4 linked regions of the Rhinolophus ferrumequinum genome follow. The protein of the gene in region 4 binds, or shares a complex with, the protein of the main gene of each other region. Links are inferred from orthologs where the notes say so. Each region holds a gene or a part of one and is shown on either strand. Other genes may lie near its edges. The genes, in order: POLR2F, GTF2E2, GTF2F1 and ERCC2.

The links.
Region 1: ERCC2 (region 4) and POLR2F share a complex: the UniProt entries of both Homo sapiens proteins name them as parts of the TBP-based Pol II pre-initiation complex. The link is inferred for Rhinolophus ferrumequinum from reciprocal best matches to the Homo sapiens genes ERCC2 and POLR2F.
Region 2: ERCC2 (region 4) and GTF2E2 share a complex: the UniProt entries of both Homo sapiens proteins name them as parts of the TBP-based Pol II pre-initiation complex. The link is inferred for Rhinolophus ferrumequinum from reciprocal best matches to the Homo sapiens genes ERCC2 and GTF2E2.
Region 3: ERCC2 (region 4) and GTF2F1 share a complex: the UniProt entries of both Homo sapiens proteins name them as parts of the TBP-based Pol II pre-initiation complex. The link is inferred for Rhinolophus ferrumequinum from reciprocal best matches to the Homo sapiens genes ERCC2 and GTF2F1.

Annotation. Positions count from the first base shown.
Region 1 is NC_046293.1:9,028,089-9,035,218, forward strand, and holds the start of POLR2F (DNA-directed RNA polymerases I, II, and III subunit RPABC2), read right to left. Parts: upstream 3,021-7,130; 5' UTR 2,917-3,020; coding exon 2,897-2,916; intron 1,392-2,896; coding exon 1,322-1,391; intron 1-1,321. Other genes in the region: C10H22orf23 (UPF0193 protein EVG1), read left to right, coding at 3,643-3,745, 4,537-4,599. UniProt on the Homo sapiens protein: DNA-dependent RNA polymerase catalyzes the transcription of DNA into RNA using the four ribonucleoside triphosphates as substrates.
Region 2 is NC_046287.1:67,078,566-67,085,602, reverse strand, and holds the start of GTF2E2 (transcription initiation factor IIE subunit beta), read right to left. Parts: upstream 3,014-7,037; 5' UTR 2,748-3,013; intron 1-2,747. UniProt on the Homo sapiens protein: Recruits TFIIH to the initiation complex and stimulates the RNA polymerase II C-terminal domain kinase and DNA-dependent ATPase activities of TFIIH. Both TFIIH and TFIIE are required for promoter clearance by RNA polymerase.
Region 3 is NC_046301.1:57,927,438-57,934,482, reverse strand, and holds the start of GTF2F1 (general transcription factor IIF subunit 1), read right to left. Parts: upstream 3,001-7,045; 5' UTR 2,806-3,000; exon of another isoform or gene 2,727-2,805; 5' UTR 2,569-2,726; coding exon 2,557-2,568; intron 2,476-2,556; coding exon 2,429-2,475; intron 1,934-2,428; exon of another isoform or gene 1,845-1,933; coding exon 1,772-1,844; intron 1-1,771. Other genes in the region: adenylate kinase isoenzyme 1, read left to right, coding at 3,240-3,411, 4,571-4,770, 5,394-5,507. UniProt on the Homo sapiens protein: TFIIF is a general transcription initiation factor that binds to RNA polymerase II and helps to recruit it to the initiation complex in collaboration with TFIIB. It promotes transcription elongation.
Region 4 is NC_046298.1:41,745,418-41,752,572, forward strand, and holds the start of ERCC2 (general transcription and DNA repair factor IIH helicase subunit XPD), read right to left. Parts: upstream 3,019-7,155; 5' UTR 2,984-3,018; coding exon 2,979-2,983; intron 2,891-2,978; exon of another isoform or gene 2,757-2,890; intron 2,667-2,756; coding exon 2,567-2,666; intron 1,588-2,566; coding exon 1,510-1,587; intron 1,436-1,509; coding exon 1,373-1,435; intron 1,205-1,372; coding exon 1,091-1,204; intron 1-1,090. UniProt on the Homo sapiens protein: ATP-dependent 5'-3' DNA helicase. Component of the general transcription and DNA repair factor IIH (TFIIH) core complex, not absolutely essential for minimal transcription in vitro.

The sequences.
Region 1 (7,130 bases), on a different chromosome or scaffold from region 4:
GGTGGCCAGATCATGGAGAACTTTGTACGTCTTTTTGGCAATTCCTTTGAATGAGATGGGAAGCCACCAGATGAGGGTTCTAAATCGGAGACATCAGTTAACTTAAGATTTGAAAGGATCACTCTGGATACTCTGTTGAGAATATTTTGTAGAGGGCAACGGCAGAAGCAGAGAGACCATTTAGGAAGACCGAGGGTATCATGCAGGCAGGTAAGAGAGATGACTCTGGCAGCAGAAAGACAATCAGAGCAGACGGAAGGCAGGAAAACCAGGAACACAATTTCTGCAGTAATGTGGTTGTAAAGGAATAAAGATCTAAACCAGGCTGGTGCACTAGGAATGAAGAAATGGAACAGGGCTGAACTAAATGAAGGAGCCAGAATTGACGGGACAGGAATGGAAGGAGACCGGAAGGATGGAGAAAGAGGTTTCTGACACAGTGAATACGGGTACTCGAGAGTGTCCTGAAGAGAGAAAATTCAAAAAGAGGGGCTTTGGCTTCTAAGCCAAACGGGACTAAAAAAGTCGAGGGATCACTCTCCAGGAGACATAAAGCACTTCTTCTTCCATCAGTCACCCAAGACAGAAAGCCCTATTTTATTCATGAAGCTAGTAACCCACCCATCTAGTTGCTGAATCCAGAAACCTAGCGGTCATGTTTGTCATCTCCCACTTTCTCAGCCCCAAATCCAATCCATCAAAATATCTCTTCCATCTGTTTCCTTATCAATGGCCCTAGCAATGCACAAGTTCAAGCTGCAGGTCTCCCACCTGGCGGTCTGTGACAGTCCCCTAATTAATGTCTCTCTCTCATACTTGCTCCTCCCTGCTTCGCTCCTGAGGTCAGCATGCTCTTTCTAAAGTGTCAACTTTACATCATGCCACTCCCTGGTTCAAAACTTGTCAGTGGCTTCCTTCAACCTACAGTCTACAAAATCTTGCCTGATCTGGGCCCTTACCTCGCCAGCTTTATTCAAGGTCACTCTCCCCCTTGCTCCTATGCAGCCCCACGCTGCAGAGCACCTGGCACATAATAAACAATCAACACACAGTCGCTGAATGAATAAATGTGACATCTCACCCATCAGTGAACTAACTGCCTCAGAAACCACGGACTGTGGTCCAAGTGGACAAAAGCCTGCAGGCCCACCCTCTGGGGCTGTTGCGCTACCCAGGACTGGAACTCTGCCCACTCTAATGGGGGGTGGCTGGGGCAGGGCCTTTGGTCACAAACAGGAGGCAGATGCATTCAGGCAATGATCACTGGGCAGCCTGTTTGACAGCCTGGGCTGCAGGAGGGAGACTGAGACTACACACTGACCTCCTCGGCGTTCTCCAAGTCATCTAGCCCTTCATCCTCTTCCACGTCATCAAAGTCATCGCCGTCAAAACTGGACAAGAAGAAAGAGGCCAATTAGTCAGAGCACCACTTACTGGAATCCAAAAGGGCAGAGAGTGTCTCAGCCAACAGTTAGGAGGTGCTCCACAAACATCTACTTAATGAGTGAATCAAACTTCTGTTCCATTTTACTCCTTCGAATTCACCCCCATCAACCCCCAAAATTGGCTAGGACACATTCTTCATCACTGTCTCTTTTCTCTCTCTACGCTGCATCATTCTCATCAGCACAAACATTTTCCCCATCTTAAAAAAAAAACAAAACCTCTCTCCCCCCAGAGCCTTATTTCCATGCTCTGCTTGGGAACAAAAATCATGGAAGAGTTGTCCATCATCACTGTTTCCAATTCTTCTCTTTCCGTTCTGTCACAATTTCACTCCAAGAAGACCTCCATCTCCACGGCTCCATCAAAACCACTCCTTCTTTCAAGTCTGTGAATGATTTCCATGTTGCCAACCAATGGACTCTTCTTGTTCTCGTTTAGCTTGACTTTTCAGTGGCACGTTAGCCCACTCTCGCTCAGTACACCCTCCTCACTCGACTGCAAGGACACCTCCCTCTCTTGGTATTTCCCCCACCTCACTGGCTGCTCCTTCTCAGTGTCCTTTGCTCGTGTCTCTTCTTCTCCAACCCCAAGGAGTCCCTGTTGGAACGCTCTAACGCTCAGTCACCTCCCCTTCTCTACTGACACCCCCTGATGATGTCACCTGTTTCTCAGTTTTGACTAATATACTTATGCGGACCACTCCCCTATTTTAATCTTCAGAACAGACCTCTGCTCCCACCCCACACATCGGGAAATCTTTTTGGCGCCAGCTTCAAAATGAACTCAGAATTCAAAACCACTTCTCACTACCTCTACTACTAACACACTACCTTCTCTCGCCAGACGACTGCAACCTGCCCAGACCTTTCCCACCTGTCGCACCACTCCTCTGGAGTACTTCTACACAGTAAGTCCTCATTCAATGCCCACGATAGGTTCTGCGACTTTAAGCAAAACGATGCACGACGCAACCAATTTTACCATCGACTAACTGATAGCAACAGGTGGGATCCTACCGCATCTCATCAACGTTAGAAAACGGTATTCGAGGACCCGCTGTACTACGTACTTTTACTGCCTCATCTCACACGATCCTACGTTATCTGTCCCCTCTTCTAGAAGGGAGCACCTGGAGAGGAAGGGCTACGTCTAACACAGCGCAATATTCCCAATACAGGACCCGGAACCTGGCGCAGTGGAAGTTTTCTGAAAGACACCTTTTCCACTGATCCTCTCTGCCCCCTCGAGCCTGTGCCTTTTGTGTCCAGTCCCTGGCTACGCTCTTGGTTCCGCGCCCTTCCCTTCTCCGGCTCCGCGGGCCCCTTCAGCAGCCCCAGTCCCCTCGGATACGGTCCCTCCACGCCTGGCTCGTCAGCCTCCTTGGACTCAAACTCCCGCTTCACCCACCCCTTCCGAGGCTCCGCAAAGGCCACTTGGCTCCCGCACTCACTTGTCCTCATTGTCTGACATGACGCCGACGCAGCCGCGACTCGGCTCTGCGCCCCAGACCCGCACGGAGATCCGCGAACAGCGTGCCTCCCACCAGCCCCGCGACACGCGTCCTCTGCGCCTGCGCCGTGAACCAGAAGCAATCACTTCCGGTAGGCAGGACTGAGTAAATGTGCGCATGCGACGAGATGCATGCTCGTTACCATGGTAGCCAGAGCGTCCCGCTGCCGGCTCTAGACACAGCGATCTCAGTGTTTCTGCCGGGTCCCCGCGCGATGCCGCGGTAGAGCCGTGCTTTTGGGCTCCGGAGCCCAGCCACCGCTCTCTGTGAGGAGGGGTGCACCCAGCCGGCGTCTTACTTTAGGGTGAGGTTTCAATTTTGGGGTAACATCCTAGAGGCTTCATAGCAGGGTTTTATCTTGCAGTGATGATGAAAGAATCCAACCTGACTAAATTCCAACAGCTATCTAAAGGCCCTCTTCCTCCCCAAAGGCCTTCCCTGCCACAAGCAGCAGGTCAAGATGAGGTCTCCGTTCGTGTGTGTGTGTGTGTGTGTGTGTGTGTGTGTGTGTGTCGGTCTGTCTGTTTCGGGTGGGAGAGGAGGGCACTCGCAATAGTGACACGCGGCAACACGATTCTCCTGCAGCCGGACCTCGCTCCCAGACTTCGGTGGTGTTGGAAGGGCGGGGTGCAGGAGTAGAGACAGGGGGTATGTCATTGTGTGTTTTCCCTCCTTAGGGCCCTGCCATGGCTTCCCAGGAGAAGATGGAGGCAGTGACCAAAGGAACGGGGTTCTGGAGCTGCCCCAAGCAGGCCACTTATACCCCTGGGACCTGTGAGCTCCTGAGAGGTCAGTGCGCTTAAAGGAAAAGAGGGGTGGTAGCAGTTACCCTCCGTAACTCGGGTCTCCCCTTTTGACCTGTGGCTCAGCAATTGCTATTTTCATTTTACAGAAAGATTCAGGTCCTACAACTTGCAAGTGGCCAAAAGTCAAAGAACCAAGAATTTTAGAGTAGTTAACAATTGTACATCCCTTAGATCACACTTTCAGTTTCCCCTGGGAAGCTTTATCTCCCCCCACCAGGACCCACCACCACAGTGGAACCAACTGCGATGTGACCAAATACCTTTTTCTTCATTGGAATTAGCGCAACCTGTAGTCAAATATTTAGTATGTCCCATTGGATCAGTATCCACCTACCCCTCTAGCCAGTGAAATCCAATAGGGCTGGGATTGTTCCTTTTTTGGCTCACCATTACAGCTTCAGCCCCTGGCACATGGTTAATGCTTGGTCATTCATTCATTTATTCACTCACACAACAAAAAAAATTTTAAAAGCCCACTATGGGCTTTAGACATTGTTCTAGATGCTATGGATACAGCATTAAAAACAAAAACAAAAACAAACCAGCAAAACTTCTGGCTCTCATGGAGCTGATATCCTAGCAGGAGGGTGACAAGTAATAATAAGTAAAATGTGTAGAACTTAGATGGTGATGAGTGCTACAGAAAAAAATAAGACAGAAGAGGAAGAGAGGGAGTATTCAGGTGCAGGACGGGGGTAGGAGGTGATACAATTTTAAATTTCAGTGGGTGAGATGAAGGCTCAGCAGGCTTTACAAAAGTGCTTTATCTTGCAGTAATGATGGAGGAATCCAGACTGACTAAATTCCAACAGCGCCACATCATGGACACCATGAAAAGTAAGAGGCAGTCCACAGAGGCTTCCTGGGCAGAGGGATTCTGGGCCACGTTTTTCAAGCTCCTCCATATTAAGAGGTAGAGGACATCATTTTAAAAGACCAAAATAGTAGAGTGTAGTATTTCCGACCCTTGCATCTGGGGGATTGACCTTGAGGCGGCCTTTGTTTCTTCCCCCAGACACGGGTCCTGGCACCACAACCAGTCTCCTGCAGTTCTGCTCTAGCTGCCTTTCCCAAGAGATCACAGCCCAGGCGAGACTTCCTGTCCAGCCAAAATAGTCTCAAAACTGTCCTGTCTGCAATCTATCCCTCCCTGTTACACACATACCATAGGAGCTCTCCAGAGGAAAGGACTGTGGATGTGTCTCATTTGTCGTTTTATTCATTCATAGCTTAGCTAGCAGAAACAAGAAAACTGGCAGAATTCCAACTTAGGAAGATTATGCAGAGCCTTTCCATAGCTCACCTCTGACCACACATTACATTTTTTTTCTTCTTTTCTTTTTTTTTTTCTTTTTTGTTTTTTAAGGAGGACACAGCTCACAGTGGCCTATGCTGGGATCGAACCGGCAACCTTGGTGTTATTAGCATCACACTTTAACCAACTGAGCTAACCGGCCACCCCTACATTACTTATTTTTGAGGAAAACAAAAAAGTGGAAGTACGTGGGCACAATAGCCAGGGGCCCTCTAAGATCTTGAAAGCAACTTTGCTTTCTGAGATGTAACTGAATCAATCAATATTTAATGGAGCAGAACACAGACCTGTAAAGTTGCCTTTAAGAGAGAGAATACCAGAAGGTCCAACCCTGCCGAGTTTTACTTGAATCTACTGAAAGCTGTTGCCGTCTTTGAAGAAAGAATGTGCTTATCAGGAGGGCATTTGATCAATGACAGAAGCATAGGGAAGAGAGAGTCAGACATTGGCACCTGTTCAGCACTGGCTGAGGGAGGGAGGCTCCATCCGGCCAGGTCAGAAGTCAGATGTCCTTCCTTATTGTGGAAAAGTACAACTCAGGCTGCCTAGTGCCGTGACATATCTGAATCACAACTCAGTCTCCACGCTCAGCAATCTACTAATAAACTGGTGTCCCCTGTAGCATGACCACAAAGAGATTATGCTAGAAATTTCACTAAAAGTAAAACTAGCAGACCAAGGACTCCATCTGTCTTGTTCACCACGGTAGCCCCAGCACTTAGCTGCTCAAAATTTTTTTTTTTTTTTTTTTTAAGCTGCTCAATGTTTATTGAAGGACTGACTGCATTAGTGGTTAGGCCAACATGAGTAATTGGTTCACCTGGCAGTGTTATTCCCCTTAGAAGTTTTATTTTTTTAAATTGCCTCCAAGCATTGGTGTTGAGTCTGCTTTCTTCTAGAATCTTCTCTTTACTTCTCTTACCCAAATCCTACTGTTGTTTTGAGCCTTCGTTCAAATTCTGTTGCAAGCCATAAATTCCTCTCCTTCACCGGAACTCCCAGAATTACTCGGGCCATAAATATTTGCTGAAAACGGGCCAGAGGAAGAGGTAGCATTTGGCACTGGACAGACAGGAATAGGGAGTGGACGGAGCAGGAGGGACATTCTAGGAAGCACAGCATGTCTTCAGAAAAGGGAGATACGTAAAGCTGCGTGACCCCCAGGTACAGGATGGGAGAGGGAAAGGTCAGTGGGAAGTAACGGCAGCACCGTCCTTCCCGTTCCTCAGGGCAGACACCTCAGTCATCCTTGACGCCTCTTCCTCCCAGACCCCCCAGCTGACCCATCAGCAATCCTGTCCACTTGACGTTCAAACCACGTCCTGACTCTGACGGCCTCTGCCCTTGGCCCCCAACACGGCATTTTCAACAGCAACCAAAGGGATCATGTCACTCCTCTGCGCAAAACCCTCCGATGGCTCCCGACCTCACACAAAGTAAAAGCCAGTCTTTCCAGAGGCCTACAAGGCCCTGTACTTTGCTTGGTCCCCATGACCTCTGACCTCTACTCCCACCATGTGCCCCTTTGCTCACTCCATTCCTGGCACCCTGGCCTCCTGGCTGTTCCTCAAGACACGCCAGGCACATTCCCACGTGAGGGCCTTTGCTGTAGCTACTCCTTCCCTCTGCCTGGAATGCTGGCCCCTCATCACTTTTGGGCTTTTCTCAAATGTTACCCTCTTCGTGAGGCCTTCCCTGACTACCCTATTTAAGTGGTAAATCCTGCTGTGACACACTCTATGCTCCACCTTGGTATGGTCACCACCTAACATACTAATATATTGTACTTATTTTATCACCATCCGCACCCCAGATGCAGACACCATGAGGGCAAGACTTTGTCTTACCACTTTACCCGCAGTGTCCTGGGCCTGGCAACGAGTGGACGCTCATTACGTATTCGCTGGGTGGGTGACAGAAGGCTGGGAAGGGAGGAAAGGTAGGGGCCAGATCCAAACAGTGGGTGGGGCCTGCTCGGAGCTGGGCTTTACGGTGATGGACAGAGAGGGGCTGACACACTTGGCTGGCCTGGAGGAGAAGCCCAGGTCTGGCA
Region 2 (7,037 bases), on a different chromosome or scaffold from region 4:
CTTTTAAAATTAATAACGAGATATTTTAGATTGATTACATGTTAATGTGATAATATTTTGGATATACTGGATTAAATACAACTAATTTCCCCTTTTTAACTTTTTAAAACACTATGGCCAGTAGAAAATTTTAAATTACACATGTGGCTCACACCTGCAGCTCACATTGTATCTCTACAATGCTGCTTAGAAACATCAGAACTACTGGGTAGAAATTAGGAGGCAGATTTAGGCTCATTGCAAAAAAAAAAAAAAAGAGAGAGACAGAACCATCAGAATTGCTTATAAATGAAAGGTGTATCTTAAAACTGGTGAACTCTCCAACATTATGTGATGAAGAGGCTGGATTAATATTTGGTAGAAATATCTACAGAAAATTCCTGATTTGGAGCGAGGTGGGACTAAACCTCTTCATGTTTTTTCTCAGTTCTAAAACTCTAAAATTGTGAGACACTTCAATACAACCAGGGAAGCCACAGATCATTCAACAAGTATTTTAAAACATTCCTCTCTTGTCTGAATCCTCTCAAGAATCCTATAGAGAGACTCTAGGAAGCATACAAGCTGACTATGCAAATGATTCGTGCACTGTTGAGACCAGTGTTCATAAGTCGGGAAGGAAGGTCCCAGAGGAAAAACACTATCTTACACTTTCAAAACCTTCAAGCACCGGGGTAGTTCAATAAATATTTGTTAAGTGAATAATGAACAGGGAAACATCTTTAAATTGCTCTAACTTCGTTGTTACTGCTTTCATGAGTCTTTATTAAATGTCTTCTGTTTGTGAGTCACTGTACTCCAAGCTTTGAAAGGTTCTAGAAGATAAATCCATGCTTTCAAGAAGTTTACATTTGAGAACATGAAAGCATTGAGCACCTCACTTAAAAAAATGAATGTGATTTAGCATGCTAAAAGTTAAAAATATAAGCACTGATAATAAATAATCAGAGTAAACCAGTTAAGTAAGAAAGGAAGAGTCACTGGCACTGGACCTCAAATCAAAGACGTTCTCCCTCTCAGTTCTAATCCCCAACAGTAACATGACCCTGGGCGATTCATAAACTCAGTTTTATTGTAAGTCAAATGAGGATACTACCAACGCTGTCTACATCTAGCCCAATTGTAAGAATAAAACGAGAAAGCGATTTTTCAAATAGTAAAACTATACAAATGTTATTTCAGTATTACTATTTTATTGGATCTGAAAAGAAATGAACAGAATGATTATACTGGGGTAAGGAAGATAGGAGACAGTCTTGGGGAGAGGGGCAGCGAGGGACAAGAGAATTCACAAGTGATACGGTGGGGGGCGACTAGCCCAAAACAGGAAACACCTGTTTATTTCACCTTGTAAAGACAAGGTAATTAACCCAGGCTTTTAATCATGATTTTAACATAACACATAAATAAAAGCCTTCCAGTTTACAAAGATCTAAATGCTTACAGCATTTGATCCTCACATCTCCAGTAGAAAATAGGTTATCTGTTTTATTTCTATTTTAATATGTGAAATCTGAAGTGAAGAGGTATGATTAGGGTCACACAGCAAGAAGTACTTGGACCAAATATCCTAACTCTAAAACACTCGAGGTCACGTTTTATTTATTCATTGCTTTTAAAGGAAGTGCTGGATGCTTTCATGTTCTCAAATGTAAGCTGCTTGAAGGCAAGGATTTATTTTCCAGAGCCTTTTAAAGCTTGAAGGCCTTTTCCAGCATTTCAGGTGTGGAGTAAGGAACACGTACTTGATTTAGGAGTCAGGATATTTGGATCCTGGTCCAGGTACTTTGGTTTAGAGATCTTCCTACTCCATGCTGGTCAAGGCGTCTAAAACCCAGGACAGGTAGGGGTAATGTTCAACGGCACCCAGAGCAGGCGGCTTCATGTCTACCTTTCACCATCGCATGTTCCGCCTAACTTTCCCTTCCTATTGTTAGAAGGCGACCGTACTCAGTATTTGTAGTTTTACATGCACTGACTAGTGTGGTAGACAGGACACATCACCCTGCCCTTGTACATTAAACAAACATCACAACTCAGGGAGTTCATGTGCCCACGTGTCACGGATGGACACTGAGAAGCAAAAATTAAGCCACAGTCTTCCGGCTCCAAAGCCCACGTTCTTCCCACCGTCTCATCCTACGGTACTTCTTTCAACCCTTCTACTTTCTTTTGCTTCTGTCCCTAACTAAGCCTCAGAGGTGCCACTGGCGAACAGCCGGCAAGGTAAGAAAAGAGACTGCTTACATCTTAAGTGACAGAATGCAAAGGTGGGAGAAAAATGTGCCACAGCGTTTTGTTTTGGAAAACGTCTTTGGACTTTACAGAAAACAATTATAACTAAAGTTTAGGAATCATTACAAACCAGGTCGCCACAAGGCAGCTTTAAAAAATAGTCCGTGAACGAGCCTCTAAATCACAGCCTTTTAGTCGGCTGGACATCGGTGGGTCCCCAAACTCCACACACATGGTTCGCTCGGCCACTGCCAAGGTAAACTTGGGGGCTACGAAGAGGCACCAGCAGCCACCCGACTGCGAATTTCCCTTTACAACCCAAAAGTTTGCTGAAAAAACCTCCGGCCTAAAAGACAATGCTCCCAACAAGTTGTTACTGTATTCCGCGTAGTAAACGGCACCCAGCCTCCCGAGGGGTGGAAGACACTCTCGCCCCTCGGGAGGAGGCGGTCTCCCCCGAGGAACAACAGGCCGGAGCTCCGCGCCCCTCACCCGGCGGCCGCAGCCCCTACCTGAGCGAGGTGGGCCGCCCCACGCGACCCGCCGCCGCCTCCCTGCGCCTCCGCCTCCGCCTCCGCCAGCCGCTGACGCCCGCTGGCCGCCGCTTTCTGCTCCTACTCAGCGCCCCCGTCTGCCCGCACGCACGCCCAGCGCCGCCCCGCCAGCTCCGGATCTCCGCACTGGCGGTAGCAGCGGCGGCTGCGGCCGCACCACTGACGACTCGGCCGGGTGCCCCGCCCGCCGCTTCCTGAACTAGCTAAGAGCTCAGTCCCGGCAGCCAACGGGGCATCTTCACAGCCTAGAACGCGCGTGCGTCATCACGCCCCCAGTTAGGGGTACCGCGGGAGGAACGGCAGCCAGCTAGGGCGTTCCGGATCTCCATAACAACGGGAGCAGGGCTGGGGGCGGGGTGGAGAACGGGACTTAGTAGGTGGGAGGCTGTTAGCAGCAGCTAAGATGGAAATCTTTCCTTTGCGGAAATTTAAAGCTACGAGAGCCTCCTCCAGCGTGCTCGGGAATCTCTTTAACCCACAGGGCGACGCAATTTTTCAAGTTATTGTCTACTAGGTATTTTGTGACTTTACCACAATTTTAACTTCCGAGAACATTCTTCTAGCTCTATTACAAATGAGGAAACAAGAGGCCCAGGGAAACGACTCAATGACTTGCTCAAAACAGCACAACTAGCAAAGGCAAATCCTGACGTGAAGCCCAGTTTCTGAACTCCAAACCGCAACACCTGTGAATAGTCTTAGAAAACGATTTCGGATTCAGAAGCAACAGAAAGGGGTAGGAATAAAGCAACGAGCGGTACCGTATATTGCCTTGTATAATGCGCACTTTTGGCTCAAATTTGAAGGAAAAATAAGGATGCGCGTTATACATGGGTAGTACTAATTCCATATTTATATCAACGTTCATTTATTTATGCTTATGAGTTAAAGGTGTAATTCTAGAAATCAATAACCACATCCGCATGCAAAATAGTACCCTGGAATACGATAATCGGTTTTGTTGAACTTATGACAACTTGCAAGGATAGAGTTCTTGGCCTTCTATGATGGGTAAATATTAGTTTGTACCGGTACATAAAATTTCTTATTGCTTGTATCTGTTCTTCTGTTTTGTAATTATTCCACAAAATTTCTTGTACCATGTTAAAAAAATAAATGCTGAAATTCCTTTATAATACGAAAAACAAGTACCTAAATGTAAACTAATAAAATTTTGAATTAAAAAAATTATAATGAGTTTTCCCTGAAAGTTTGGGCCAAAACCGTGGGTGCTCATTATACATGGCAAAATACGGTAATGGGCCTTGCCCAGTCTACAATGTATTGGAGTGTCAGATTTCTGCGATGTCCTTCCCTCACTTTTATAACCCAAAGCAGCAGTATAGCCTGTGCTCAGCTATTCTGTAGCTGTCTTTTAATTACTTAGTACTAGTTACTCAGGTTACTTAACCTGTGTTGGTTTTCTCATCAAGGAATAACTGTACTACAATGGGTTACTTGCATTAGACTGTTACAAAGATTAAATGAGATGACACATAAATTTTTATTCAAAACTTGGAAATAAAGCCAAAAGAGATTGTGCGACTTAAAAATTGTTTCATTCTAGAGGATTTTGTAATAAACTCACTTGATGTTCATGTAATACCGTCAGGAAATGTAACTTTGAGTAACAATTTAGTAGGGCCCAGAGGTTTTACAACCCAGTAAAGCCAGATATGAACTGGTAAAAAAACTGATGAGGTGTAATGGTGAGAAGGAGCAGACATCAAGTACAAAAATTAATCCCAAAGGTTAAAATTGCATTGTGCTGAGAAACATGAGCCAGTATTATATGAATTTATTAATTTTTATTTCATTGTTTCTTTACCTAGTGATTATATAAATTCCAGTTTTTCATATCCTTGTGGAAACGATTCTATCATTCTTCTGGTTACTTTACAATGAGTAAGAGACCTAATATACGAGGTGTGATCAAACAATACAGTGAATGTTTAAATTATTACAGTAAAAGATACATTGCCATTAATCCTCCTCAAAATATTCCATATCGCTTCAAACACACTTTGTCTCATCGTTCTTGCCACTTTCTGAAGCAGTTCTTGAAGTCCTCTTTCGTGTCTTTAGTTGCACTGTCGTGGCTGCTTTGATGTCCGGAATCATTTTGACTTTGGGGAAGAGCCAGAAGTCCCACGGTGCCAGATCTGGTGAATAAGGTAGATGGCGACACACCGTAATGTTTTTATTCAGAAATTGCCGTATATCAGAAGTGATGTGTGACACACAGCATTGTCATGGTGAAGGATGATTTAGGGCACACTTTAAAACACACCTTCTCTCAACCATAGCTCACACACCTGACTGCACCAAACAAGTCGAAACTTGTCGCACACTGTTACTAAGGTTTTACTTGCCACTTCTCATATTGAAGATCCCTGCCTTTCCGTTGGATGGCACTCGGCAGCAGCATTCACTATATTTTATGATCACAACAAAAAGGCTCTGTGTCACACATCGCTTCTGGTACAGTCATTTCTGTCAAATAAAAACTTTACAGTGTATCCTCATCCACCTTATTCACTGGATCTGGCACCGTGCGACTTCTGGCTCTTCCCCAAAGTCAAAATGACCATGAAAGGTAAATGTTTTGTATCAATTCTGGACATCGAGGCAGCCATGACAGTGCAACTAATGACACTCATTAAAGAGGACTTCCAGGACTGCTTCAGAAAGTGGCGAGAATGATGGGATGTGTTCAAAGCGAGTGGGAGTTATTTGAGGGGGATTAATGGCAATGTGTCTTTTACTGTGATCATTTTTTTTAATTTAAACATTCACTGTATTGTTTGATCATACCTTGTAGACACCACCTGGGCAGCCTCTAGCCAGAGCTTAGGGAAGGCATTGGATAAATATCCCACCTTAAGCTGTGAGACATAACTCTTTATAGGGATACGGCTACTTGTATGATATACACAGTCTCCACCACTGATGCTTAAACAAACCTTTATTATAATTTAACCACCTACATATTGGCATCTTTAGTATTTCAGGTCAGAAGGGTGTGGCTAGTGTCAAATTATATGAAGAATGATTCAAGCTACTAATGCAATAGCAATTATGTCTCATCTCATGAATGCTTATAATGCCCTGCATACTTTTTAGTAGAAAGCGTGGTGGCTTTTTGAGGGAAATATGTTTTCTATATTTTATAAAACATTCTTCTCTCATGACCAATCCAAACCCTCCCACCCAAAATACACAACTCAGTATAACCACAGGATTAATTCCAATACAGTGGATATTTTTCTACTATTTTATTTGTGGTAAAATCTATATAACATAATAAGATACAATTTATCATTTCAACCATTTTAAAGTGTACAACTTGGTGGCATTAGATTAATATTATGTAACCATCATCCCTATTCCCAAAATTTTTCATCATCCCAAACAGAAACTCTGTAACCATTAAGCAATAATTCCCCATTCCTTCCTCCCCACAGCCTCCTGTAACTTCTAATCTACTTTCTATCTCTACGACTTTGCCCTACTTCTAAATATTTTATTTAAGTGGAATAATACGATATTTGTCTTTTTGTGTCTGGCTTATTTCACTTGCAATGTTTTGAAGGTTCATCCATGTTGTAGCGTGTATCAGAACTTTTCTTTTTTATGTAGTGGCTTAATTTTATATTTTAATTTTTTTACATTACATAATTGTTTGGAAGAGGAAAACTGAGATAAAGTAAATAAATTTACTTCATTCTGCCATCAAGTAATAACTGCCTTTCAACTCTCCTCACCTCACAATCCATCTCAACGAACTAGATATGTAAATTCTCAAAACAGCTGACAAAGCAATTAGCCCACATCCACACAAACCAAGAGCTAAAATAAGTACTTTGCTCATCACCTGTCCTGGATTTCTCTAGCATTGATAGTGTTTCCTCCTTTGGAGTCTTTCCCCCTACTTTCTAATGCAGCCTGCCCCTCCTGAAACAATCTCCCTAGGACCCTGCTTCCTCTCTAGCATTCATCCCATAAGGGAGGAAAGAATTCTTTTTGAGAAAAACAAGTTATTAGCATGTGCACTGCACCTAGACATGAGAGTACCCAGTTATGGATAACTCAGAGGGATAGTTAGAATTTGGACTTATATAGTAGTATCTTAACAAAAGAACAGTAAATTTTTAAACAAATGCCAAGACCTTTTCTCCTAAACTCCAGCTTTTAAACTTCCAGATCCCTAGTGGGGCCACAAACTCAACATGTCCTAAACTTTGCACC
Region 3 (7,045 bases), on a different chromosome or scaffold from region 4:
CCCCAAGAACACCCTATACGCCCCCCCAGACTGAGCTGCAGATACTCCAAGCCAACTTCCTGCTTGGCAAACAGGGGGAGAAAGTTGGCACTCAGTGAATGTGAGTGAAGGGATTCAGGCAAGCCTTTCTTATACTACGTCTATTTTTGCAGCTTTTGAAAGTTTGAAATTATTTCCAAGTAAGTTAAAAAAAACAACAAGTGGGGCTGGCCCGGTGGCTCAGGCGGTTAGAGCTCCATGCTCCTAACTCCAAAGGCTGCCGGTTCGATTCCCACATGGGCCAGTGGGCTCTCAACCACAAGGTTGCCAGTTCAATTCCTCGAGTCCCACAAGGGATGGTGGGCAGCACCCCCTGCAACTAAGATTGAACACGGCATGCTGAGCTGAGCTGCCGCTGAGCTCCTGAATAGCTCAGTTGGTTGGAGTACATCCTCTCAACCACAAGGTTGCTGGTTCGACTCCTGCAGGGGACGATGGGCTGCGCCCCCTGCAACTAGCAACGGCAACTGGACCTGGAGCTGAGCTGCACCCTCCACGGCTAAGACTTACAGGGCAACAACTTGACTTGGGAAAAAGTCCTGGAGGTACACACTGTTCCCCAATAAAGTCCTGTTCCCCTTCCCCAATAAAAAAAATCTTTAAAAAAAAAATTTTGTTTAAAAAACAACAACAAGTAAAACCATTGTGGTTGGTCAGGAAAAACAACCTGCTTGGAACTGGCCCTCTTCTCTCTGCATTCGATTCTGGACCGCCCCGTGAATTCAGATGCCATTAAAGGCTGAGGTTTTCCAAATTTCGATCTCTGGGCAATTTAGCAGTAGAAATTATTTTGAAATGCATGTCTATAATTCTGCCCTGGCGCTCACCCCTCCATATCCAATCCATCAACAAACGCTGTTGGCTCCACTTCCAAAACACACCATCATTCAATCGCTTCTCTTCTTGTTTGCCTCGAGACCATCATCGCTCACCATGACCAGAGCTATCGCCTCAACCCTGCTTCATCTGCCTCAACCCCACAGAGATCACTTTACAACACCCTGTTTCAAACCCTTAGTGGTTTTTGCTGCAGACCGAAAGTTTGTGTGTCTCCGCCACAAAATGCATACGTTGAAACCTAACTCTCAAGTGGGATGGTATGTAAGGGTGGGGCCTTTGGGAGGTGACTAGGTCATGAGGGTGGAGACCTGGTGAATTAGATGAGTGTCCTTAAAAAAAAAAAAAAAAGACCCCAGAGTTCTCTCGCCCCTTCTGAGAGGACGGTGAGCGAGAAGACTGCTGTCTATCAACCAGAAAGTGGGTTTCACCAGACACCGAATCTGCTGGGGCCTTGCTCTTGGACTTCCAGTCTCCAGAACTATGAGTAATAAATGTCTATTATTATTTATAAGCCACCCAGTCTATGGTGTTCTGTCAGAGCAGCCCCAATGGACTGAGACAGTTTCCAAAGCCCTTTCCAGAGCTTCTGACAACGGGGGCTCTGAGCTCATCTACAGGTTGTCTCCCCTTCCCTTGCCCAGATAAATCTAGGCCCAAAATGCCCATCAGTGGGCACAACCCCTAAATATTCTCCTTTCAGAAGGCCTCCTGCAGGGCCTAACAAATCTTATTCAAAGTGATGCCCAGCAGCTCAGCCCGGGCCCTATTCATCATTTTTCGGCACTGGGGGAGTGCTGAGAAAACTAAGCCTTAGATACTATTACAACTAAGCAACTATTATAACCACCGAGTCCAGGATCAAGTTCTAACCCCTTTTGGAACAGGGACTTACTTGATTCCAAGTAGCGAAGTTGACTTTATCGGCTGCATTGAAGGCCATGATGTTGTATTTTTTGGTTGTATTTCTGGAATGGGCAAGAAGAGGCAGTGCTCAATCAATCCATCCAACAAACTCTCCCCAGTTCAGCCCTTCATGCCAGGCAATGATGGGAGCCTTTAATACACCCCAAAGGTTCCCAGTCAGTCAGCGGAGCCAGATCCATACTCCCAATCCCATATAGAAGAGACAACGATTTAGGGGAACCCGAGATGTGGGGATAATTTGGAACTCAGCCCTGGAGAGAAGAAGGGAGGGCAAGCAGGGAATGCTTCCTGGAGGAGGAAAATACTGGAACTGGATTTTTGGGATCAACAAGAATGCAGCAGCATTGTCAGCTGGGAAAAAGGTATTCCTGGCAGAGGAAATACTAGGCCAGGGGCTGCATCCTACTGCATATTAACGCACTAAGAATTCATTCATTCCTTCCATCACTCTGTTCAAAAAACAATGATGCCATAGATAGGCCTCAGCTCAAACCCAGCCCCGCCCTCAGGTCGCTGCCACTCAGGAGGTGGAATCACAAGCAGCGCCGGGAACGCCTAGAGGCTTGGGAAGGTTTTAATCCCTTTTTTGGGGGGTGGGGGGTGGGAGGTGGGATTTGGGACTTACTTGGGAACTCGAACGACATACTCAGTGATATTATGGCTGCCGGGGCCCTGCGGACAGAGAAAGCGAGAGGCCGAGTGAGGGGCTGCAGAAGCCGCCGCAGGGTCTCCTGAAACCCGCCACATACTTACGAAGGCCGCCATGGGCAAGGGTCAGCGGTTAGGGTCTGATCCGATCCGGGTCCTTTTCGTCTCTTCTAGGGTCCGCGACCCTCTGTCCGGGGGAAGTTGCCCTCGTGGTGTCGGGTCACTGGCCAGGATCGAGGACCCCAAGTCCGTGGTGCCACCGATCCAGGGAAAAGCTACCCGAAAGCGGCGCTCAGTCAGCTTTCCGCCTCAGCGGCCGCTGCTAACACGTCTGCGCCTGCGCCGCCGACTAACGTGAAAGCGAAACTCTCCCGCAGGCCGCGTCACGATGGCAACTTCCCCTCTGCCCCGGGCCCTTCAACGCGCTGTCACCTAGTTTCCCGGTCCCTTTCAGAGCGGCGAGGCAGTCCGCGTCTGAATTAAGTGCCCCCAGCGCGCGCACACCGGATGACCGCTTTACACAGGACGGCTAATCTAATCATGACATATGGGCACGCCCTCCCCGTGAGATCGTCACGCAAGGGCAGCGGGGCATCCTGGGAGCGGAGAAAACCTATCCACCCTCGCGGGCTCTCGGCGCCTTGCGCTTGCGCTGCTCCACTCCGGAAGTGAGTCCAAGGAGGCCGCGTCACCATAGCAACCGAGGCCTTCTCTGACGCGTTGAGACGCCGCGACTCCATCTGAACCTTTTTGGGGTTCATTTGCTCCCCCTGCTCCGCGGACACCCCATGATCTTGCTAAATGGTTGGGACAGGTGCCCTTGTGACGTTGAGCCGAGCCAGGAGAGATCAGGGCCTGAGCGGGGATGGGGCGCGACCACCCCACGGGTCGTTGGCAGGATGGGTCTGTTCAAGTCCAAGCTGCCCAAAACGGGCAGGCCCCTGAGACCCAAGGAGAAGGGTAATATCGCGGGATGGCTGGCTTACTGGGGGAAAGGGAAGGAGGCTGTGGAGGGCAAGAGGAAGGTACAAGTACCCCATCCCACTTGTCCAGGTGTGGCCCCCCCATAGTAGTAATACAACTGCGCATGCTCACAGATCAGCCATTCATTAATCGACTTGAGCGGTTGCTGTGCTGGATTCTGGGCACTCCATAGTGACTGTGCCAAACCAGCTCCCTGTCCCCTTGGAGATTACAGTATAGTGCAGGAGACGATCTCAGAAAACGGTGTCTACAATTCAGGAAATACTACAGGAAAAGCACAGCTGGCTCTAAGGGCTCAAGGAAGAGGGGAAATTTAAGCTGGGCCCAGCAGGATGCATACAAGTTGGCTAAGCAAAGGTGGAGGGAAGCAAGACACCAAAATTCCACCATAAACTACAGCACCCCGTAGACATGGCCGGTAGTCGTGGACACTCACTTAGTCCTCACCCTCTACTATATGTCAGGAACTGTAAATTACTAGAAATATAGAAATATAGGCACAAGTGAGACAGAAATAGTCCTTGTCCTCATGGAGTACAGTCTGGCAGGGAGACAAAGAAGAAAAAGTACACAAAGTCATTACTGATCGTGGCCTTTGCTGTGGAGGAAATTGGGTTCTGACACAGGGGATGATGATGGGTGAGCTGCAACCTGAAGGCACTGGGGCAGGGATTTCCTAGAAGTTAGGGAAAAGTTGAGGGGGGAATGAGCTTGGCAAGTTCAAGGGACAGAAAGGAGTCCAGGCCACCACTGGGGGCTGGACCGGAGTGAAGGAAGGGGAGGGTGGTATGGAATGCGTCTGGGGGATGGACCTGCCCCTGTCTGAGCCTCAGTTTCTTGAACTGTAAATTGGGATGTTAGAGTCATTGTGACACCTCCAGGAGATGCTGTGTACAAGGGCCTAGCCTGCTCAGGTTTACACCATCCACTGAACCCACAGCAGCACTAACGCATGCCATGCCTGGATACACCAATGGGCCAGGACACACTCTCAGATGCCACCCTAAGGCAAAAGTGGGTATGCCAGCAGGACTGTGTCCAGTATATGCACTAAGCTGTGGACACAATCGCATCAGTGCCCACTGACCCCTACCGGCACCAATGCGTCTCCCTCTTTCTTCCCTGGTCACCGCAGAGATGCTCAAGTCCCCCCTGATCATCTTTGTGATGGGTGGGCCAGGCTGTGGCAAAGGCACGCAGTGCAAGAACATGGCGACAAAGTATGGCTTCTGCCATGTGGGGCTGGGCCAGCTGCTGCGGCAGGAGGCCCAACGCGGTACCCGGCGGGGCCAGAAGATTCGTGAAATCATGCTACGGGGGCTCCTGGTGCCCACGGTGAGAGCTCATGGGTGCAGGGGTGGAGGGAAGAAGGGGCTACGTGGGGACGAACTTCCCGGAAAGGCCCTGTGGAAGCTGATGGGCCTGGAAGGCTGTGGCTCCCCTCCTTGCCACTGTTTGGCTGCCCTGAACCTCTGTGTCCCCATCTGTAAAATGGGAGAGCAGCTAGACCCACAGCAAGAGTCTGTGGTGAGCTTTGGATGACATCATTCCTATAAAACACTTGGCAGAGTTCCTGGTACTTATGAAGCACTCAATAAAATTAGCTAGTATTTTTTCCCTTTGTGACCCTGGGCACATATATCATTGGCTCCTCTGTACCTATTTCCTCACCCACAGAATAAGGTCACTCCAGTACCTACCTGTAAGGTGACTGTGATGAGCAAATGAGGCCCAGCCAGCCTGGCACACAGTAGATGCCTGTCCAGTAGACAGCCGCTGTACCTACTTCTTGTAAGAGCTTGTGGAGGCCCCAGGGCATTGGGCAGACTCGGAATCTTGGGTGGTGGGCAGGTGTTTCCCAAATTCATCAGAGGTCCAGACTGAGAAAGACAACTTGCCAAGGTGACCTCATAGGTGAGGGCCTATGGACAATGACCCATCACCCCTTTCCTTCCCAGGGTATCATCCTAGATATGATCAATGACAAAATGCTGTCCTGCCCAGAGAGCCGGGGCTTCCTCATCGATGGCTTCCCTCGGGAGCTGATTCAAGCTAAGGAATTCGAGCGCATTGTGAGTGACCCAAAACTGTGTGAGGGTGTTAGGGTGTAAGGCGTGGAGCTGTTCCCCCCTCCCTTCCTACGATGGAGATCAGAAGGGCTGAGACTCAGGGGAGAGGAGATGAACAGAGGGAAATGGAGTTTTGTATTATCAAGGAAGAGTCAGGTTGTTGGAAGCTTCTAGAACCCAGGTGAAGAGCTAGAGAGTTCTCTGAGGGCAAAGACAAAGTCATTTTAGTATTTCCCTGCACAGTGCCTGCCCACTGAGTAGCACGGGTGTTTAGCAGCATCTCTGGGCCATAAAAATGGAATATAATTCTTCGTCCATCTATTTATTCCCCAAATAGTCCATGAAGACAGACTCTGAACTCGGGCATTCGTGAGATAGGCTTGGTCCTTGCTCTTAGGATGCCAAAAAACAGAGAGATACATCATGTGTAAAACTAAACAGAAATTTCTCCTAGCGATAAGTGTAGTGAAGAACAGAAGACAGAATGACACCCTGGAGGGACACTACTTCAGTTTGGGTGGTTCAGATGGCCCCTTGAAGGGGGGATATTGGAGAGCTAGCTGAGAGATGAGGGAGGAGCCAGCCGGTGCTGGACAAGTTGGAATGAATTTCTTCAGGTTATTTTTACAGGTCAGCCACGCTGACTTTATGAAAAGGCGCATCCGGGCACCTGAACAGCAAGGACTGGAGCATTTGAAAATGGCTGAGCAGGAAAAGAGAAATTGAGGCAGGCTGTAGGCCTCCAGGTTTTTCTGGAACTTGCTAGATTCCAGAAGAAGAATCTAGCAAAAAAGACCAGGTGGGAATCAAACAAAGGTCACCCAGCTTGGGACAGCTGTCCCCTGTTGGGTGGGGCCCTGCCCTTTGTTCGCACCTCCATTGAAGCATTTCTGTGGGGCTCATTGTGACGAAGTCAAAGGGTAAGTGATGGGCTCCCTCTCCCGGCCTGGGAGCTCTGAGGGGAAAGGCTGGGCTAGTGGACTCCTCTGCCCTCGCCAGCCCTGGGCCAGTGCCTGCCCTAAAGTAAGCACCCAGTCATAAATGCCAGCTGAATGGACGCCACAAATGGCCACAAAGTCTCAGAACGGAGGCTACAAACTCCCAGCCCTCAGGCCCTATTCGATCCACCAATGTGTTCAGTTTTGTCTCTAGAGTGTTTGACCCTTTTTTTTAATTTTAAATGAGTGGCCCACTTTCAAAACTCGGGAGATGCCACATCAAAACTCCCAACTTCTCTTGATAATTGCCTGGGGCGGCCGGATGGCTCAGTTGGTTAGAGTGTGAGCTCTCAACAGCAAGGTTACCGGTTCAATTCCTACATGGGATGGTGGGCTGCACCCCCTGCAACTAAAGACTGAAAATGGGGACTGGACTTGGAGCCGAGCTACACCCTCCACAACTGGATTGAAAGACAAAGACTAGATTGAGGGACCGCGACTTGGAGCTGATGGGCCCTGAAGAAACACTGTTCCCCAATATTCCCCAATAAAAAAAAAAAAATTTAAAAATTGCCTGACTTGGCAACACAGGGCCTGAATGTC
Region 4 (7,155 bases):
TGCATCACAAGAAAAAAATGTATAACTATGTAAGGTGACAGATATTAACTAGACTTATTGCAGTAATCATTTTGAAATGTATACAAATATCTAATTATTATGTTGTACACCTGAAACTAGTATGTCAATTATACCTCAATAAATACAAAACATTAAGCCTTGAAGATTCTTTAGCTTGTAGATAAAGGATAACTGCTTTACTTTTAAGATGCTCAACCACCCAGGACCCTGGCAAGGTCTAAGAATAAAAGGAGGTTCTGATTGCACAGTATGAGAACCCACGGTCGCCCTTGCCCTGCTCTGTCCCCTCCAAGTCTCTGTTGGTGGTATCATCACAGCCCCGGGCTGCCTGCCCTCAGAACAAAACCTTCTCCTTCCCCAAAGGGAAGGCTCAAGGCTGCCGTCCCTTCCTTCTCCTTTTCCCATTCCATCAGTCACCAAGGCCTATGCTACTTCTCTTTAATTATTATCCATCATACGTATTATTTCTCATATATTCTTACAAATAATGTTATAGAATATATATTCCATGAGTTACCACACATCAAGTGCTTAGAACAGTGCCTGGTGCACAGTGAGCCCAGTGGCTTTTTAACATAATTCAAAAATAACAAATATTCTATGTGTGATAGATCTATTAATATCGTGGCAGTTTCTAATACCTTTTAGTTCTTTGTACATGCTAAGGGTACACATGCATTAGCTCACCCAATCTTATCAACAACTGTACGAAGCAGGTACTTATTTATCCCCATTTTACAGAAAGGAAGACCGAGGCCAAGACTGCAGAAATCTCCTCTCCAAGAGTACATAACTAGTAAGTTACAAAGCCAGGAAACTAGGCCTGCCAGCCTCCAGGAACTGCCTTTTTAACCTCTCCCAGGCTGGGGGAAAGTAGGAGGGCTCCCCAGTGGTATCCGCGCCTCAGCCATGAAAAGATGAGTTGGAATTTTACATGTGAGGAGAGAATTCTATGCGTGGCCCCTGCGTATCCCCCGAGAGGTCTAGTCTGAAGATCTAAAACTCCTGGTTGAATGTAAGAGTTTTCTCAACCCTGGGGCTTTGGGTGAGGGGAGGAATGGGCACTCACCTCAGGATGAATACACAAGTTCTTTCGGGAGCTCAGAGCCAGCCCCAAAAACGACAGCTTCTCGCCTTCCTGTTTCTCATAGAAGTTGAGCAACTTTCGAAGCTCCTCAATCACCTGTGCCAGAAGAGAAGGGAGGGGGAACTCAGCCTCACTGAAAGCACAAGCCCCTGCCCAACCAGGCCCCAGCCTCCCAAACACCACCCCCAAGCTGCGATGGCAACCACAGGGGGACCAGCGAAGTCCGGGGAGAGTGAGGAAGCACCGGCATTGGCTCTAGCTCACCTTCTCAATCTCAGGCACAGTCCTCGAGCAGTAGATGAGTTTAGTCACCTCCAGTGGATATGCCTGCGGACAACAAAGGGTTCAGCCCATCCAGCCCTTTCCCTCCTCCCCTTCCACAGGCCCAGTGGGTCACTTACCCGCTGGTACGCCATGATCAGGGCCAACAGGGACACTGTCTTCCCAGTGCCTGAGGGCATTTCCAGGACTCCATGGCCCTGTGTGTTGGGATAAGACATAGGCTCTCACAACTCCCTCCAGAATGCCACCATCTTGAAATGGCAGGCCAGCACAGCAATTAAATTTGGGCCCCAGGGGCAGTGGGTCTGAACCCTTCTTTGCTGGGTGGTCTTAGGCAAGTGCCTTCACCTCTCTGGCCTCAGTATCCTCATCTCTAAAATAGGCCTAATAAGCTTTTTTCATAGCATGATTATGAGGATTAATGAAAAACTGGGGGTTAAATATTTGGCATAGTACCTGATATACAGTGAGCCCTTTTTCTTTTAATGTAGCAAACAAACAACTTCACACTTCCTCTGTGCCTGGCAGTATTTCTAAGAGTCTTACATCAGGGTTTGTGAAATTCAGCTTTATTTATATTTTGGAGCCGAATAATACTTGGTTGTGGAGGGGCTGTCCTGTGCACTGCAGAATGTTTAGCAGCATCTGTGGCTTCAAAACATTGTATGCCAGGTAGCACCCCCACTCCACTAGTATGCCAACCAGGAATGTCTCTAGGCACTGCCAATGTCCTCTGGGAGTCAAAATCACCCCCAGGTGACAACTGCGACCTTACTTAGTGAATTAACTCATATAACCCTCACATTAACCTCTGACTTAGGTACTATTAAGACGCCGATTTTGGAACAGGGAGATTAAGTGATTTTCCCAAGGGGGCACACAGCTGTGGGTCCAGAATCCCAACCCAGGTAGCTGAGTCCAAAATCTACATATTCCCAGCCACAGAGTAGCTCAAGCTTTGATAAAAGCCAGCTACTGCTATTATTAACTTATTTTTGTTTCTTTTTGTTTTCTTCCGTTTATTAACTATTATTATTTTAGGTACTAGGAAGTTTTGGAGTGCTGGCTCCCCAAGGACCTCTAATTTCTAATCTAGACCTCCTGCAATCTCAGTCTCAGCCGCCTGCGTGGAAGCCCCACCTGTCAGGTGGGTAACGGCGGACGGGGCCCACGCACCTTGGCGTCCAGCGTGCGTTTGAGCTCCAGCATGTAGGAGAACTGCTCGGGGTAGATGTAGTCGTACGGGAAGTAGACCAGCAGCCCGTCCACGTTGAGCCTGGCCGCAGGGGCCGTCGGGTCAGTCCCGGGTCCCCTAAGCCCTTCTTCAACCCCCACACTCCCCTGCCGCCGGGCCGAGGGAGGTTACCTGCCAGGCACCGGCCTGCGGGTCCCCCCGGATACACCCCCGTTCCCCAGGAACCTCTGGGTCTCCTCGTTATCTCCTCGCTGCCCATTCCCGTTACCGTACCGTGGGTCCCCGCGGCTATCCCCTCCCCATCCCTTCAGCCTCCCCTCGCCCCGCGGGGGCCCCGGGCGCGCCCACCGGTCCCCCCATCTTCCAAGTCCCCACGCCCAACCCCCCTCTCACTTCATGGCGATGGCCGGGGCGAGAAGCGGCACCGACCCGCCCCCTCATGAATATTTAGTGCGGCAGGATCCGTGGGGCGTCCTCAAGGGGCCGCTGCACCTTCCTCACGACGCCACTGGCGGATCCCTCCCGTCACTCTACTGGGGTAGAGCCAATCAGGATAATGCGCATGCGCACGGCAATACGAGGGCGGGCTCGCCGGGAGAGGCGTCGCTGAGGATCGCCGAAGACCAAGAACAAAACATGGAAGAAAGAGAACCGAGAGAATCGATCCCATTCATTAGGATGCGGTCTTCTTCATCTGCTCAGATTATTTGTGTAGCGAAGAAAGTCTAGGGGAAAAGAACAGGAAAATTGGGGACCTCTTCGGGGCTTACTAATTAGGAATTGCTTCGCTGCACCAGACAAACATGCACTCTTTTTTTTTTTTTAATTGGGGAAGGGGAACAGGACTTCATTGGGGAACAGTGTGTACTTCCAGGACTTTTTTTTTTTTCCAAGTCAAGTTGTTGTCCTTTCAGTCTTAGTTGTGGAGGGCGCAGCTCAGCTCCAGGTCCAGTTGCCAGTTGCTAGTTGCAGGGGGCGGAGCCCACCATCCGTTTCCGGCCGCCAGGAGTTGAACAGGCAACCTTGTGGTCAAACATGCACTTTTAAAATGCCTGCTGTGTCCTAGACTTCTCTGGGTTAAATAACTCCTCTTATTTATTGAGCTCCAACTGTTTGCCAGATGTATTTTAATCAAGCAGTAATGAAAAGGCACTGTGGTTAGGTGGTTAAGGTATGGATTCTGGAACCAGAATGCCTGGGCCCAAATCCTGGCTCCACTGTCTACTAGCTGTGTGACCTTGATCAAATTACTTAACTTCTCTGGGGTTCCATTTGCTCTCCTGCAAAGTAGAACAATTAGATTATCTACAATGTAGATGACGCTTAAACTAACCCACATAAAGCAGTTAAAACTGGACTCAGCACGTACTAAGCATTCAAAAAATGTTAGCTTTTATGTGTTTGTTCGACAAATAGCTATGGTGTGTCTACAGTGTGCCTGACCCTATGCTAGGCCCTGGTTGTCACTTTCTTCATAATCGCCTCATTTTCATTCATTCAATCATTCATTCATTCAATCATCATATATTCCCCGACCCCTGTTCTGTGCATGCTCTGTACTGGGTGTTTAAAAGCACACAGCAGTGACCCAGCCATGCCCTCTAGGGTCTCACATTCCAGTGACTTTCTCCAGACAGTGAAAACCCAGAGTGGGCAGGCAGGTCCAGGACGCAGCACCTGACCTAGCTGTAAAGCCTTTGGCAAGTTTTCTCTGAGACTCAGTCCTTCACCTCTAAAGTGGAGATGATGATACTGACATCAACAAATGACATTTATTATATAGTCATACAAATGAGAATATACTTCCAGAGTTAGACAAAGGCTCTGAAAATAGGTACTGGGGGACTAGAACTCATAAGGATGGTGATGGTAGGGGTGGATGTTGAGCCAGTTAATGAAGTCACCGACTTAACCCTGAGCCTTAACCAAAGGAACACTCAGTGGGAACAGCTACATACACAGAGATGCTCCTTGCAACACCATGGACACGGAAAACAAACTGGGAAGAGCAAACACCGTTTACGTTGGATGGTTGGGAGTAAGCTATGGTGATGCCTTCCGTTTAGGAATTTGCACACCTCACAGTATATTCCTGCCCCATCTCGCTGCTTATTTTTCTGCTTTCTACTTGCCTCCAGTAGTGGCCTCTTTGTCTGCAGCTTAGTCTCCCTTATCTTGTCCTGCCTCACTCCTACTGCTCACCTTTAGGTCTCAAAGAAACATCCCCTCCTCCAGGAAGCCCTCTCTGCCCCCAGGCTGGATCAGGCACCCTCTCTGGGCCCCCCATCTGAGCCCTGGTTACTCTGTTAAAGTGGGGGGGAGGGACGGAGGGAGGGTGTGTTCAAGAATATAATAAAATGAAATTGAGTATTGAACACATACTACTATTGGACAGGTACTGTCCTAAGCATCCTGTCACCTGTCTGACATCATTTCTCACTGTCTTCTTTCTTATCCATTTCTCCCAGTCACACCTGGCTTCCTGGCACTAGGCCTGCTTTATTCAGCTAATCTGTGTAACAACTTATCCCCAAAAGTAATGGTTGAAAAAACAGCATTTATCATCTCACCGTTTCTGTAAGTCAGGAATTGAATGCAGCTTCAGTCATCCCAGCTCAACTAGAAAATGATCCACCACTAAGCTCACCGTGTGATTGTTGGCAGGATTTACTTCCTTGCTGGCTGTCATCTGAGAGCCACCCTCAGGTGCCTGGCACGTGGGCATCTCTGAGGGCAGCTGGTTTTATCAAAGCAAGAAGAGCCAGAGAAAGATGCAAAGATGGAAGTCACTGTCTTTTATAACCTAATGTCAGAGGGGACAGTCCATCACTTTTGCTGTGTTTCATTCTTTGGGATACATCATCACATGCAGCCCATGCTCAAGGGGAGGGGTTACTCCAGGATGTGAATACCAGGAGGCAAGATGGTTGGGAGAAGTCTTAGAATGACTGACTCCTGCCTCCTCCTGACCTTTGCAATTGCCCCTCCCTCTGGTTCTTTCCACAGATCTCTGCATGGCTTCCTCCCTCAAGCTTTTCTCAAAGGTCCTTTCTTCTCTGAGGCCTTCTTTGTTGTTTTTTTTGTTCTGTTTTTTTAAAACTTTTATTTATTTAAGTGTGTGTTTCCAGGACCCATCAGCTCCAAGTCACGTAGTTATTTCAATCTAGTTGTGGAGGGCGCAGCCCACAGTGGCCCATGGGGGGATCAAACCAGCAACCTTGTTGTTAAGAGCACTGCGCTCTAACCACCTGAGCTAACCGGCCGCCCCTCTGAGGCCTTCTTTAAATTGCAATACTCCCTAGGTATGCTGAATAATTGTCCCCAAAGATCTCCAGGCTCTGATCCCTGATACCGGTCAATGTTACTTTGTGTGGTAAAGGGTCTTTGTAGGTGTGATGAAGTTAAGGATCTTGAGATATCCAGGTGCTCCTTAACAGTAATCACAAGTGTCCTCATAAGAGAGAGATTAGAAAGAAACAGAAGCAATGTGACACTGAAGCAAGATGCTCCGCTGCAGGCTTTGAAGATAGAGCAAGGGGGCAGAGCCAAGGAATGCAAGGAATGCGGCTGTGGAAGCTGGAAAAGGCAAGGAAACAGATTCCCCCCTTAGTGATCCCGAGTTTGTGCAGCTCTGCCAACACTTTGATTTCAGCGCTGTGAAACTGAGTTGGACTTCTGATCTTCAGAAGTGTGAAAACATAAATGTGTGTTGTTTTAAGCCACTAAGTTTGGGGTCATTTGTTACAGCAGTGATAGGAAACTAGTACACATCACAATATGCCCCAATATAGTCATGTGATGTGTTTCAGCCAATGACCAACTGCATATACGACGGTGGTCCCATAAGATTATAATATCGTTGAAAAATCCCTATCGCCTAGTGATATCGTAGCCCTCCTAACGTCATAGAGCAACGACTTACTCAGGTGTGTGTGGTGATGCTGTGTAAACACCTACTGCACTGCCAGCTGTATAGGACAATTATGTACAGTACATAATACTTGATAATGATAATAAACAATTATGCTACTGGTTTATGTATTTACTATACTATACTTTTTATCATTATTTTAGAGTGTACTCCTATTTATTAAAAAAAAAAATAAAAGCGTGCTGTAAATAGTATGCTGTTAGGCCAGCAGCAGCCTCAGACATCTCGTTTACCGCATCTACTAATTGCACCATTTTCTCTGGTGCTTGATTTAATCTTGTGTTTTGTACAGTAACATACTGTGCAGGCTTATAGCCTGGGAGCAACAGGCTAACCATACAGTTAGGTGTGTGGTAGGCTGCACCATCGAGGTTTGTTTAAGCGCACTCTATGATGTTCGCACCATGATGACATCTAACGACAAATTTCTCAGATCATATCCTTGTTGTTAAGTGCTACAGATATAATGATGACCTCTCAGGAATCGCTGCAGGTTCATTCCATTGGAATAGAATCCAAATCTTTTAGGAGTTGATAAATTTTTAGGTAAGATGATGCATACATGGGAGATGTTTTTTCACTAATTTCTACTTTTGTAGAATTTGGAAAATTTTCAGAAATTTTTAATATAAATAGTAT